Tamandua tetradactyla: one gene and its partners. The protein of the gene in region 3 interacts with the protein of the main gene of each other region in a pairwise test. Links are inferred from orthologs where the notes say so. Each region holds a gene or a part of one and is shown on either strand. Other genes may lie near its edges. The genes, in order: ZBTB9, HMG20A and DTNB.

The links.
Region 1: the proteins of DTNB (region 3) and ZBTB9 interact in binary tests that used the Homo sapiens proteins (3 or more experiments, as listed by UniProt). The two-hybrid records come from large-scale screens. The link is inferred for Tamandua tetradactyla from reciprocal best matches to the Homo sapiens genes DTNB and ZBTB9.
Region 2: the proteins of DTNB (region 3) and HMG20A interact in binary tests that used the Homo sapiens proteins (3 or more experiments, as listed by UniProt). The two-hybrid records come from large-scale screens. The link is inferred for Tamandua tetradactyla from reciprocal best matches to the Homo sapiens genes DTNB and HMG20A.

What each region holds. Positions count from the first base shown.
Region 1 is NC_135331.1:89,436,127-89,439,875, reverse strand, and holds the start of ZBTB9 (zinc finger and BTB domain-containing protein 9), read right to left. Parts: upstream 2,526-3,749; 5' UTR 2,342-2,525; intron 2,105-2,341; 5' UTR 2,026-2,104; coding exon 634-2,025; 3' UTR 1-633. UniProt on the Homo sapiens protein: May be involved in transcriptional regulation.
Region 2 is NC_135338.1:65,795,037-65,798,785, reverse strand, and holds the start of HMG20A (high mobility group protein 20A), read right to left. Parts: upstream 2,278-3,749; 5' UTR 1,291-2,277; exon of another isoform or gene 1,120-1,290; intron 1-1,119. UniProt on the Homo sapiens protein: Plays a role in neuronal differentiation as chromatin-associated protein. Acts as inhibitor of HMG20B. Overcomes the repressive effects of the neuronal silencer REST and induces the activation of neuronal-specific genes.
Region 3 is NC_135329.1:9,285,047-9,288,795, forward strand, and holds the start of DTNB (dystrobrevin beta), read right to left. Parts: upstream 2,967-3,749; 5' UTR 2,922-2,966; coding exon 2,878-2,921; intron 1-2,877.

The DNA of each region.
Region 1 (3,749 bases), on a different chromosome or scaffold from region 3:
AAAGTGCTCAACTGCAACACAAAAAATAAAGGCATTGGTAAGGTATTTACTGGTAAGAAAGCAAATGATCTGAGAGGTTTCTACAAAGATACAACAACAACAACAAAAATACAGAAAAAGAACTCTGCTCACATCATTACAGCAGTGATGAGGGAGAGGAAAGTTTAGAATTTGGCCCCTGAATAACTCAAACTGAATCAAATGTATCCCTAGATGGAGACCAGCTCCTTTACCTCCTCACGGACACAGAATGATACATTTATCATTATGTCTTCTTTGCTCTAACACTTCTCTCACTAAATAGTCTTCTGATATGAAATTTGGTTTCCTGAATGGATATCACCACTAGGAAAGGAAGGTCCATTATGGGCAAGTGATCTATTTAAATATCGCATGTAAATCACTTTCCTGTGAAGTGGTTAGCAAAAACCTGGAGATGAAAAATCTGAATTATCAAATCTGCCAGGTTGAGGCCCATACCCAAGAACAAGAGAGCACCTGCAGAACCATAATCTATTCATCCTTTTAGCATGATTGCAATATCCAGGACTGGGGTGCCAGGGTAATGAGAGATGAGTATCCATCAGCAGCAGTGGCTCTCTTGTCCTGGAAGTCAATGTATGGCCTCAGCAGTCACTTGTAAGTCCAGTGGGCAGTGGCCCAGCCCTGGCCCTTGCATAGGTCCCGATGGCGAAGGAAATAGGCATGGACTCGGAACCGACGACCACAGTGGGGACAGGCATACAGCGCTCCAGCATGGGTCTTCATGTGCTCTGTCAGATGGTGCTTCAGTTTAAAGCGCTTGTTGCAGATGCCACAGCCAAAGGGCCTAAGGCTGAAGGTCAGCATGATGTGCCGGTCACGCTTTGGCTTCACTGCAAACCGTTTCCCACACAAGCAACCAAAGCATTTTCCATCTGCAGGGGGTGCTCCCCCTAGCTTCACAGGCCCATGTACAGCCTGTCCTGCTCCCCCAGGTCCTCCACCTCTTGACAGGATTTCATTCCCATGAAGATCCACTGGTTTCCAGGATGGGCTCCCTCCCCCAGATGCTGTCCCTGCTCCTGAGGGCAGTAAGAACCCTAGCTCCCTGTCCCCTTCAGGGAACACTTTGGTCTCCTCTTTTGCTCCTCCAGACTGAGTTCCACCTCCTGATACCTCCTCCTTAGGCTCAAAAGGTTCCTGCTTAATGTAGAAGATTTTGGGGGGCAGCACAGTAGGAGGGGCAGGAGGCTCAGTCGGTGCACTCTCACCCTCTGGAAGCCTGTGTGGAGTAACAGCTATGGGCAGTGGGTGGGATCCATGAGAGTGGGGAAACCCCCCTGATACTCTCTGAGGTTGAGTCTGAGAGAGTGCTGCTGATCCCTGGTCCTCATCTTCTTCTTCCTCTTCTTCCTCCTCCTCTTCCTTCACTTGAATCTGTAACACCTCTCCCAGTTCACTTCCCTCCCCTCCCACAGGGCTATCTGTAGAAGCAGTGGACTGCACCATGGTCTGGAAAGGAGGAGAACGAATGCACCAGCCTCCTGGAGAGGATGTGGTGGAAAGAAGGGTGTGGTAGGGGGTCACTCCATGGCCTGAAATTCCATTACCTGAGGTTTCTAGTTCTCTAAGAATCTCTGAGCACTGATCTACTACTTGCCACATCTGGAGTCCACTGGCCACAAGGAGGTGGGCAGGGAGGGCATGGAGTGGCAGATGGAGGCGCCCTGAGTAAATGAGCTGGAGCAGCCCCTCAAAGGCATCTGCTTCAATGACACTAGGCAAGGTGAGGCGTGGTGCATCCCCCAGAAGCAGCTTGTCATGGAAGTAAGGAGAAGCAGCAGCCAACACTGCTTTGTGGGCCCTAAGTTCTCGACCCTGTACCATGAGGGACACATCACAGAACTTCCCTTCCAGTCGGTGTCGATTCAGGGATTCCAGCAGCGACGAGCTATGCTGAGGGAACTCGATCTGGATTGTCCGTGGGGCTGGGTTGAAGATCGGGGAGGTAGGCACAGGAGGCCAAGGCGTCGATGTATCCATGGCCTCCTCGAAAAGAGAGATCCTAGAGGATCAGGAAGAGGAGATGGGGACTGGGGATAGACCCCAGGGCGGATACAGGCTGTGGAGAAACGAGATGGAAGTTACAGAAGCCCTGGATAAGGGGAACCACGTCTTCTCAAACAACCGCCCCCCCCCCCAAATTTGGAAACTTTTCCATCAGCGGTGGTTTCCGCAGATCAGTTCTGCGCCCTTCCCCACCAATAAAACAAAAACAAAACACCATCACCAAGCAAAAACCGGGGTTTTAACTTCCAGAGCCCGCGGAAACTGAGGAGGAGGAAGTCCCTGACCTCACCTGTTCCGGACCACTCCTACCCCGCTTCTCCGTTCCCCCTCACGATGCTCCAGAGAAGGGCTGCCGGGAGGCCACCGTCACCGAGAGACCGCAGGGCACCACCAGACTGCCTTCCCCGCCGACACGCCCCCGCCGTTGAACACTCAGGGTAGACACCCCAGCACCTCCCCAGCTCCAGCGCCTTCCCGGGCCGGAAGCCACCGCCTTCCCGCTGGACGCCGACGCCGGGCGGGACTAGAGCCGCAGCCGGAGCCGCAGCCAATCGGAGGCCGGTAGTCTACAAGCTTGTGGTTGATTGGCTGCCCAGGTGAGAAAGGCGTTGCTTGGAGCTTGGAGCCTGGAGCCCGGGCGTTTTGGGGGACAGCGGGATGCTGCTGACCTCTCCGCCACTCCGGGAGGTCGGGAAGCCAGGAACGAAGGGGCGAACTGTAAGTCGTCCCGGAAAGCTGCGTTTCCCGGCTAGTAAGTGTAGCGCCCGCCTCTCCCCCGCCGGTAGGTGCCCATGGGGGCGAGGCTAATTGAGCGCCTGCTGTGGGCCAGCACCTTCCCTCATCACCTCGCATCCACCCAACAGCCCCGCAAAGTAGGCATTGCGGTCCTCAGCTTCCAGGAGAGGAAAACCGAAGCTAAGTCTCTCGCCTGATAAATGGTGGGCCTGGGATGGGAACCCATATTTGCTAACGAACCAGACTTTCCTCGTATGGCATAGGAGTATTATAACCGACAATTAAACCTTATTTGCAAGAATTACCTTTTGAAATTAGATATATGTAGATATAGACTTGGAATCCTTTAGATAATGCCGCTCTATCCCGGCCTCTTCGCTTCTTTCCTAAGTGGAGCAGTGGGTGCGGGGAGAGCTAGACTGAGGAGATTTGGCTTGTCCCTGCAAAACCCCTGCTCTCGATAACAGCATGGAATAAATCTCCTCGCTGGTTTGGGAGTGATATTTTTTGAGGGCTGTAGCATCACGGAGGGGTAGATGGCCATTCTCCCAGGCTGTCAGCCTACTTTAAAAATGAAGATCGCACTGGTCGGTCTGGAGGTCCCAGCCTATGAAAGGCACCACAGCGATAAAAGAACGATCTCCGTTTATTAAACATGATTTTTCTGTTTCACCACACACTCCAGAAAAAAAGGAAATGAGGCTGGGAGTTGAGAAAAAGGGACAGTGGTGGGAGTTAGAGAAGTTTGGGAGTTGGATTGGGAGGGAGAACGAGAAAACAAAATAAAACAGGTAGGAAGAGCAGCTCCCTACCCTTGGTGGGTTGGGTGGGGACAAAAGGGAGGGCCAGGAAGCTCTGTACAGAGGAGTTGCCCCCAGCCCACACACACACACACACCCCGGATATGTACAGTACAAACCCCAGATAATTACAACAGCCAAAGAGGAGAGGAAGAAAGAGGT
Region 2 (3,749 bases), on a different chromosome or scaffold from region 3:
CAAATATTGTGATACTTCACAATAGAAGCCAGGGAATCAAAACTATTGCGTGTTTATTACCACTCTCTACACAGTTTCTTATAAAAAATAGAGAATACAGGAAAAAAGGAAAGTTCTTTTTTAGTCATCTTTTATTCTTTTTTGAATCCATTTTCCCCCCTAATTAAAATGTGGGTTGAATCTCAGGCACCATAAACCTTAAAGTTGCAAAGAACAGATACCACTTTAAAAAAAAAAATCGGTGCTCAATTTAATTATATTACAAGGGGGGACAATGTACTAAAATACAACTTTCACATTTAAGAATTTTTAAGCCTGAGGGAGTTGTTCTCCAGCACAGGGCAAAACCTGTAGTCTGGAGTCAACAGGTATAAGAATTTAAATATACCAAATTTTTTATGTTAGTTAAGGTGACACCAAATATCTGAGAACTACAGCAAGACACTTTCACTCTGATAACGTGAAGATGCCTCATAACTTAAGTAAAATATTCTGTCCTCTCATAAATGACCTCCTTAAAAAGAGAAGCTACAGAGCGCATATCAAGGCAGAGAACACTACCAAGGCTGGACTTTAGTGGAGCGGGGTAGGCAATCCATGAGTCACACAAGAAAGTATCTCGTCTTGCAGAGATGGAGAATTTTAAAAAGCGATTTTGAATTCTTTTAAGTAAAAAAGCATTAGGAAATTTCTGTTGTGGAGGAAATTTTCCATCTTGCATTTGGTAATAAAACTCACATAAATTCTGGTTGGAGGCAGGGGATTAGCACAACTTGATGGAATAACCTAATTTACAAAAAAAAAAAAAAACAAACAGTCCCAAAGCTAGAAGATTCCATCTATATAAACAGCACCAACCACCTTCTCAAACCCTCGTCCGCACTGGAAGTGGGTTGGACACCCCAAAACCATTGGCCTACCCCCCACAGGAAGTGAATTACGTCCTCCCCCACCCCAGGACAGCCTATCACCCCTCCCCCAACGGAAGTGAGGCTCCCCCATTCAATCAGCCTCAATCCGTAGCTAACCAGTAACAACAACGGCAAAAGATGGATGATTTTCATGGGCTAAAGGACACTTCGACTGTGGTCACCCCCCAAACTCGCCTTGCTTACTGACCTGCTGACGAAAGAGACAAGCAGGGGCCTGGGACCTAAAGAAAGTCCCTTGTACAGAGGAGAATTCCCTCAGCCCCTCTCAATCGCCTTCACTCTTCGCACGTCGTTGTCTCACAGCTTGACAAAAATTCCTCCGCAGCACTTTATTTTTATGTCCTTTCTTTCTCCTTACCTAATCTCTTAACCACCTCCCCATAGGTAGCTTCTCTTATCGCAGTAACATTTAAAATTGTTCCGGTGAGGAGAAAAGTGAAATATTTCCGATTCCTGCAGAAAAATTAAGGGATTATTTTGCTCAAACGCGGCAAAGTAGTACGTGACTACGCAAGGTGCGGCAATTCGCGAAGGTTTCTGGGAGATGTAGTTCTTTTATTTTCTCTCTAAAACCCGCAGGAAGTAGCGATGTTAAATTGGTTACTACTATGCACAGCAGTCCTTGAAAACACATATTCTGAAGTCAACAGCAGGCTGACATAGTCAAATGGTCCATACGTCGTTCCCCTTTACCCTCTGGTATTTAATTGAACCCAAATATTCCTTCTTGCGGGCTGTCGGCCCTGTCGCCCCGCCCTCTGACTATGGCCACGCCCCCCCGCCAATCAATCGCTTTTAGGTCTTATCCTCCTTGGATGGGAACGCGGAGAGGAGGGGACTTGCGTTGACTCCTCCCATTACACAGAGGCGAGAGAGGCTGAGGGCCCGTGCGCGCGCGCGTGCTCGCTCCCGGGAAGAGCTAGAGGAGAGCGGCGCACGGGTGCGCGCGCAGAAAGGTGGCGCGCGGGTCTGGGAGGAGGCGGGCAGGCTGGTGGGTTGGGCGGGTGGCGAGCGGCCGGGAGCGCGCGGTGGACTCAGCGGCGGCGAGTAGTTTGCTAGTTGTTGTTAGTCAGTGCCAGTTGTTCGGCAGCGGTGGCGGCTGCAGTCACCAGGAAGGAAACGGGACGCCTGCGATGGTGGTCCCCGCGGCGGCGTTGTGCGCCCTTCAGGTAACGGGAGGGCTGTCCGCGTCCTCTCCGCTCCTTTCTCACGCTTCGGGTCATGGGGCTGGGGTCGCTTCGGGGTGAGGGCTCTGACCCGCGGGAATCCGGGCCGGGCGGCGCGGGGTCTGGTTGGCGCCGCCGCGGGGGCTTAGGCGGCCAGTGCGTCCTGCCCCGCTCGGTCTCTCCGGCTCCGGCTGGCCTCGCGCCCCGCCGGCGCCGCGCACCCCCTCGCGCCCCCCGCCGCCTCCTCCCCCGTCTTCGGCGGCCGCCCAGATCGCGCGGCGCCCCCCAGAGGAGGGAAAGTTGGGACCTGACGGTGAGGGACGCCCCCGGGCGCGGCTGGGTGGCTGCTGTGGAAAGTGAAGCCCGGAGAAGCTGGACGCGGGAGGCCGGGGCTGGAAGGGCTCCTCTCCCTCCTGCTAAGTCTACACCGTCCTCCCGCTCCCAAGCCGGGGAGGATCCGGCGCAACCACGCCAGTAGCGTCGAGAAGAAACCCTGCTCTCTTCCCTCTGCTGCTGGTGAGCCCCCTGATTGCGGGTTCGCTTGGTGTTTGGGGGTTTTGAGTGGTTCGGTTAGCCAATTTCTTTCTCTTTTGCCCTTTGACTCATCGTCCTTGCAACTTTTTTTTGCTTCCTTCGAGGAGGTCTTGCTGCCCAAAATCCCCCCTTCGCATGCATCATCTGTCTGAGAGCTTGATTTCGTTTTTCATCCTGTGACTGTGTTAAAGACTGCTGACAGCAACAGGAAAAAGTACCCCTCCCCCCTTTAAATGTTACTTTCTTGCAATCTGCTTTTTTTTTTTTTTAAATCCAAGTTTGGGAATTTGGGAGCTGTGGAATGAAGTTATTGGAAGGCTGGCGTTGAGGGGGTAGTGATGAGTTAGAGGAAAACTATGGTTTCATCTTAATTGGCCTTGCTATAGAAAACCTAATAAGTTTTTTTCCCCTGCCTCTATTAAATATGGTGAGATTATACCTTGAATTAAGTACTTGGAGACTTACATAAAAGACTGTTATTAGGTCATCCGGTGATGTATGTGAACAGCTTTTCACCTGAATTGAGATTGACTTGAGGATTTTGTTCTGGGGCCTACTTACAGATGGAATGTTCAGCCACAGTTTTTTTTTTTTTCTGATAATTAAAGTGATACAGTAATGTGTGTAGTAGGAGAACTCATATTGCTCTCTGCAGTGTGGAAATGAAAAACGTGAATTATCCACAGGGGTAAAACTTTCCGTGAGCAATCTTGGATACTCACTTCATGATGGCTTCTCCTGTAATCTCAGAGCATTTCTAGATATCTCAATTCACTGACTACACTAATTATTTTCTGAAGTCTCTGGGCACTTCTCTTTGGTGACTCGTTTTGTAAACTATAATGGTAGGTATTTCTTAGCTTTAAAAATGGGAGTAATAGCCTCAGCCCAGAGTTTAACAGTTAACAATGGAAGCAAAATTCATACCATTGCTAATGAGTTTTGGCTATGACCAAGTCACAAGCTATGTGAAAAAACAAGCCTCTCAAGGAAGAGGGGAAAATATTTTATCATTTCTTTATTTAGGAGACTCTAATGTGACTATCTTATGGGGGAAAGAAGTTAAATTATTTTCTTTAAAGCTTTTTGATGTGTAGATATAATGGTCCTTCCCCTT
Region 3 (3,749 bases):
TGATGTAGAATAAATATGTAAATATTGCTTGCTCTCTTTGCCCTATTGATTGAAGCCAAGGTAATTTCAGTATGTGGGCTAGGCTATTATAAACATTTGGGGAAGCAGAAACTTTAAGTGAAGTTGTATTAGCATCTCACCTTCTCTGTTCTGTATTTCATCAACTCCCAAATTCTCAGAAAACTTCTTTCAAACATATTTCATTCATTCTTCCCTCTCACCTCCAAAATTGTGTGTCAGCCTCTCTTACCTATTTGTCCTTTTCCTTCAGCATCTATAAATGCTCCTACTTTTCATGTCTTAGAGAAAAAGAAAGAAGCCTATCTGTACTCCAGATCCTGCCCCCACCTCGCCATATTTCCCTTCACAGTCAAATGTCTTGAAAGCAGTCTGCTCTTCCTTCTGTTTTCAGCAGCTTCTCATTCCTTAGCTGTGGTTATGCAGCCTCTGTCCCCACCACAGGGCTGCCCTGCTCTCAACTAATGGCCTAAATCCCAAAAGCCACTTTTGAGGCCCCATACTACTAGAGCACTCAGTGGCATTTCACCACACAGTGCTCCACTGTTTCTGAAACTCCCTTGGCCATCAGTACACAACTCCTCTCTTAAGCCCTCTCATGGCTCTCAGTCTCCACAGCACTGTCCTCACCCCTCAGCTCACCCCATACTTTATCACTGAGCCATTGCATTCACCCTCTGTCCTCACCCACCACAGGTATCAGCAACTCCCACACACATTATCTCCATGTCAGCCACTCACCTGGGTTCCCTATACAACAGTCTACCAGACTTCTCTACCTGAGAGGTCCTAGAGATACCTCAAGCTCTATATTTATAAAACTGTTTAGCACCACTGTCCACCCATTTGCCCAATTCAGAAGCCAGGGAGCCATCCTTGAGCTTGTCCTCACCCTCCCTACCATACCCAATCAGTCACTACATCTCGTTGATTCACCCTCGTGAATAACTCTAGAACCTTCAGCCCCTCTCACTTAGACTAATGCAACAGCATTCTAACCATTCTTTCTCCTTGTTCTAGTTTGCTAGCTGCTGTAATGCAACACACAAGAGACAGATTGGCTTTTGATAAAAGGGGATTTATTTCATTAGTTCTTCTGAGAAAAGGCAGCTAACTTTCAACTGAGGTTCTTTCTTATGTGGGAAGGTACAGGATGGTCTCTGCTGGCCTTCTCTCCAGGCCTCTGGGTTCCAACAATTTTCCCTGGGGTGATTCCTTTCTGTATCTCTAAAGGCCTGGGTTGAGTTGCGAGTGCTGAGATGAGGTATACTGAGGTGCTTGGGCTGTGCTATGTTGTGCTCTCTCATTTAAGCACCAGCCAATTAAATCAAACATCATTCATTGCAGCAGGCACGCCTCCTAGCCGACTACAGATGTAATCAGCAACAGATGAGGTTCACGTACCATTGGCTCATGTCCACAGCAACAGATCTATGTACCTTCACTTAGCCAAGTTGACAACTGAACCTGACTACCACACTCCTGTAGTCTTGCTCCTTCCGATCTCTCTTCCATACTGCAGGTCAGAGAAAATTTTCAAAATTTACAGTCCATGTAGATAGTTTGATTGAACGCCATAAGTACTTGGAATCTCAGGTAGGACATGAGATTTTGTTGGTTTGTCCAGAGTGATGCCCCGATGAATCCCAGAGTGATTCGATCAGTGAGTGTAAAAGTATTTGCAAAGCCCCCTTTGGGGAATGGTGAGAACAGGGAGAAATTCAACTTCCCCAAGTTGAATTCTTGATATTCTCACAAGCAGTGTGGACAACCAAAGCTATAGGCTAAGCCCCCAGTCTTGGGGTTTGTTCATATGAAACTTAACCCCACAAAGGATAGGTCAAGTCTACTTAAAATTTAGGCCTAAAAGTCACCCCCAAGAGAGCCTCTTTTGTTGCTCAGATGTGGCCTCTCTCTCCAGCCAACACGATGAGCAGTCTCACCACCCTCCCCCTGTCTACGTGGGACATGACTCCCAGGGGTGTGGACCTTCCAGGCAACGTGGGACAGAAATCCTAGAATGTGCTGAGACTTAGCATCAAGGGATTGAGAAAACCTTCTCGACCAAAAGGGGGAAGAGGGAAATGAGACAAAGTGTCGATGGCTGAGAGATTCCAAACAGAGTTGAGAGGTTATCCTGGAGGTTATTCTTATGCATCAAGTAGATATCATCTTGTTATTCAAGATGTAATGGAGAGGCTGGAGGGAACTGCCTGAAAATGTAGAGCTGTGTTCCAGTAGCCATGTTTCTTGAGGATGATTGAATAATGATGTAGCTGTCACAATGTGACTGTGTGATTGTGAAAACCTTGTGTCTGATGCTCCTTTTATCTACCTTGTCAACAACAGAGTAGAACATATGGAATAAAAATTAATAATGGGGGAACAAATGCTAAAATAAATTTAGTTTGAAATGCTAGTGATCAATGAAAGTGAGGGGTAAGGGGTATGGTAGGTATAATATTTTTTTTTTCCTTTCCTGTGTTCTTTTTATTTCTTTTTCTATTGTCTTTTTATTTCTTTTTCTGAATTAATGCAAATTTTCTAAGAAATGATAAATATGCAACTAAATGATGATATTGTGAATTACTGATTATATATGTTGATTTTTTGGTTTCTTAATTTTTTAATTAATAAATAATTTTTTAAAAATTTACAGTCCATAGTACATTATTTACAGTAATATAGTACATAGTCCTATATTGCCTCCACATTACATTCAGGATGAAATTACAAGTCCTCAGCACAGCATAGGAATTTTCCACTAATCTAGCCCTTGCCTACTTCTCCACACCCATCTCTGTTTGCTCCCTGTACACACATGCCATCCATTTCTGGAATGTTCCTACTTTCTCTTACCTCCATGCTTTCGTATTTGTTTGTCTCTCTGGTTGGAATGTCATTTCAACAGAAGCAAAGAATACCCAAGGTATGAGTAACCGAGGTTCCTGAAAAAGAAAAACAAAACAATGGAACAGCACTAATATTTAAAACTATAACCCAAGTAACTTTCTGAAAATAAAAGAAAACATAAACCTACATAATGAAAGAGTCCACAACGTACCTCGTAAAACTGCCACAAAGTGGTTAGCTCAGAAAGCTATCCTATTAGACAGAAGGATTAATAATAATCCTCAGGGTTTCCAGGCAAATGATTCAAATTGCTTTAAGCAATTTGAAAACTAGGGTAGAAAACTAGGCTGCAGCAAGATTAAAGATGGCTGCAAATTCTTTGCTGCTCCTTCAACCCAGGCTTGCTTTAGTGAAGTGCTTAAGCAATAGAATGTGGCATAAATGATGTTCTGAGACTGCCAAGGCAGGGTTATTAGAAGCCTTGAAGCATTTACCTGCTCTTTGGGAATACCTGCTCTTGGAGCCACAAGCCACTGTTAAGAAAATCTAACTGCCTGGGGAGTGGCCCTGGGACTGCATGGGAAGGGAGAAGGCCTTGCTGCGCCCAGCATTTGGGACACCCCCTCAGTGCACAAGGCACGTGAGGATGTCACTGTGAACCCTTAGACGGGCCCAGCTGTTAGCTGAATACTGCTGATGGAACAACCATCCAGCCAACCTCTTCCCAAATTCCTGACCCCCAAATTTTGAAATTAAAATAATATTGGTTCTTTTTTGAAGCTATTACTTTTTCAGATGAGTAGCTTGTTAAGGAGACTGGTAGTCAAACTCAATGGCATCAGACTTCTCGAGAGCAACACACAAAGCAAGGAGACAGT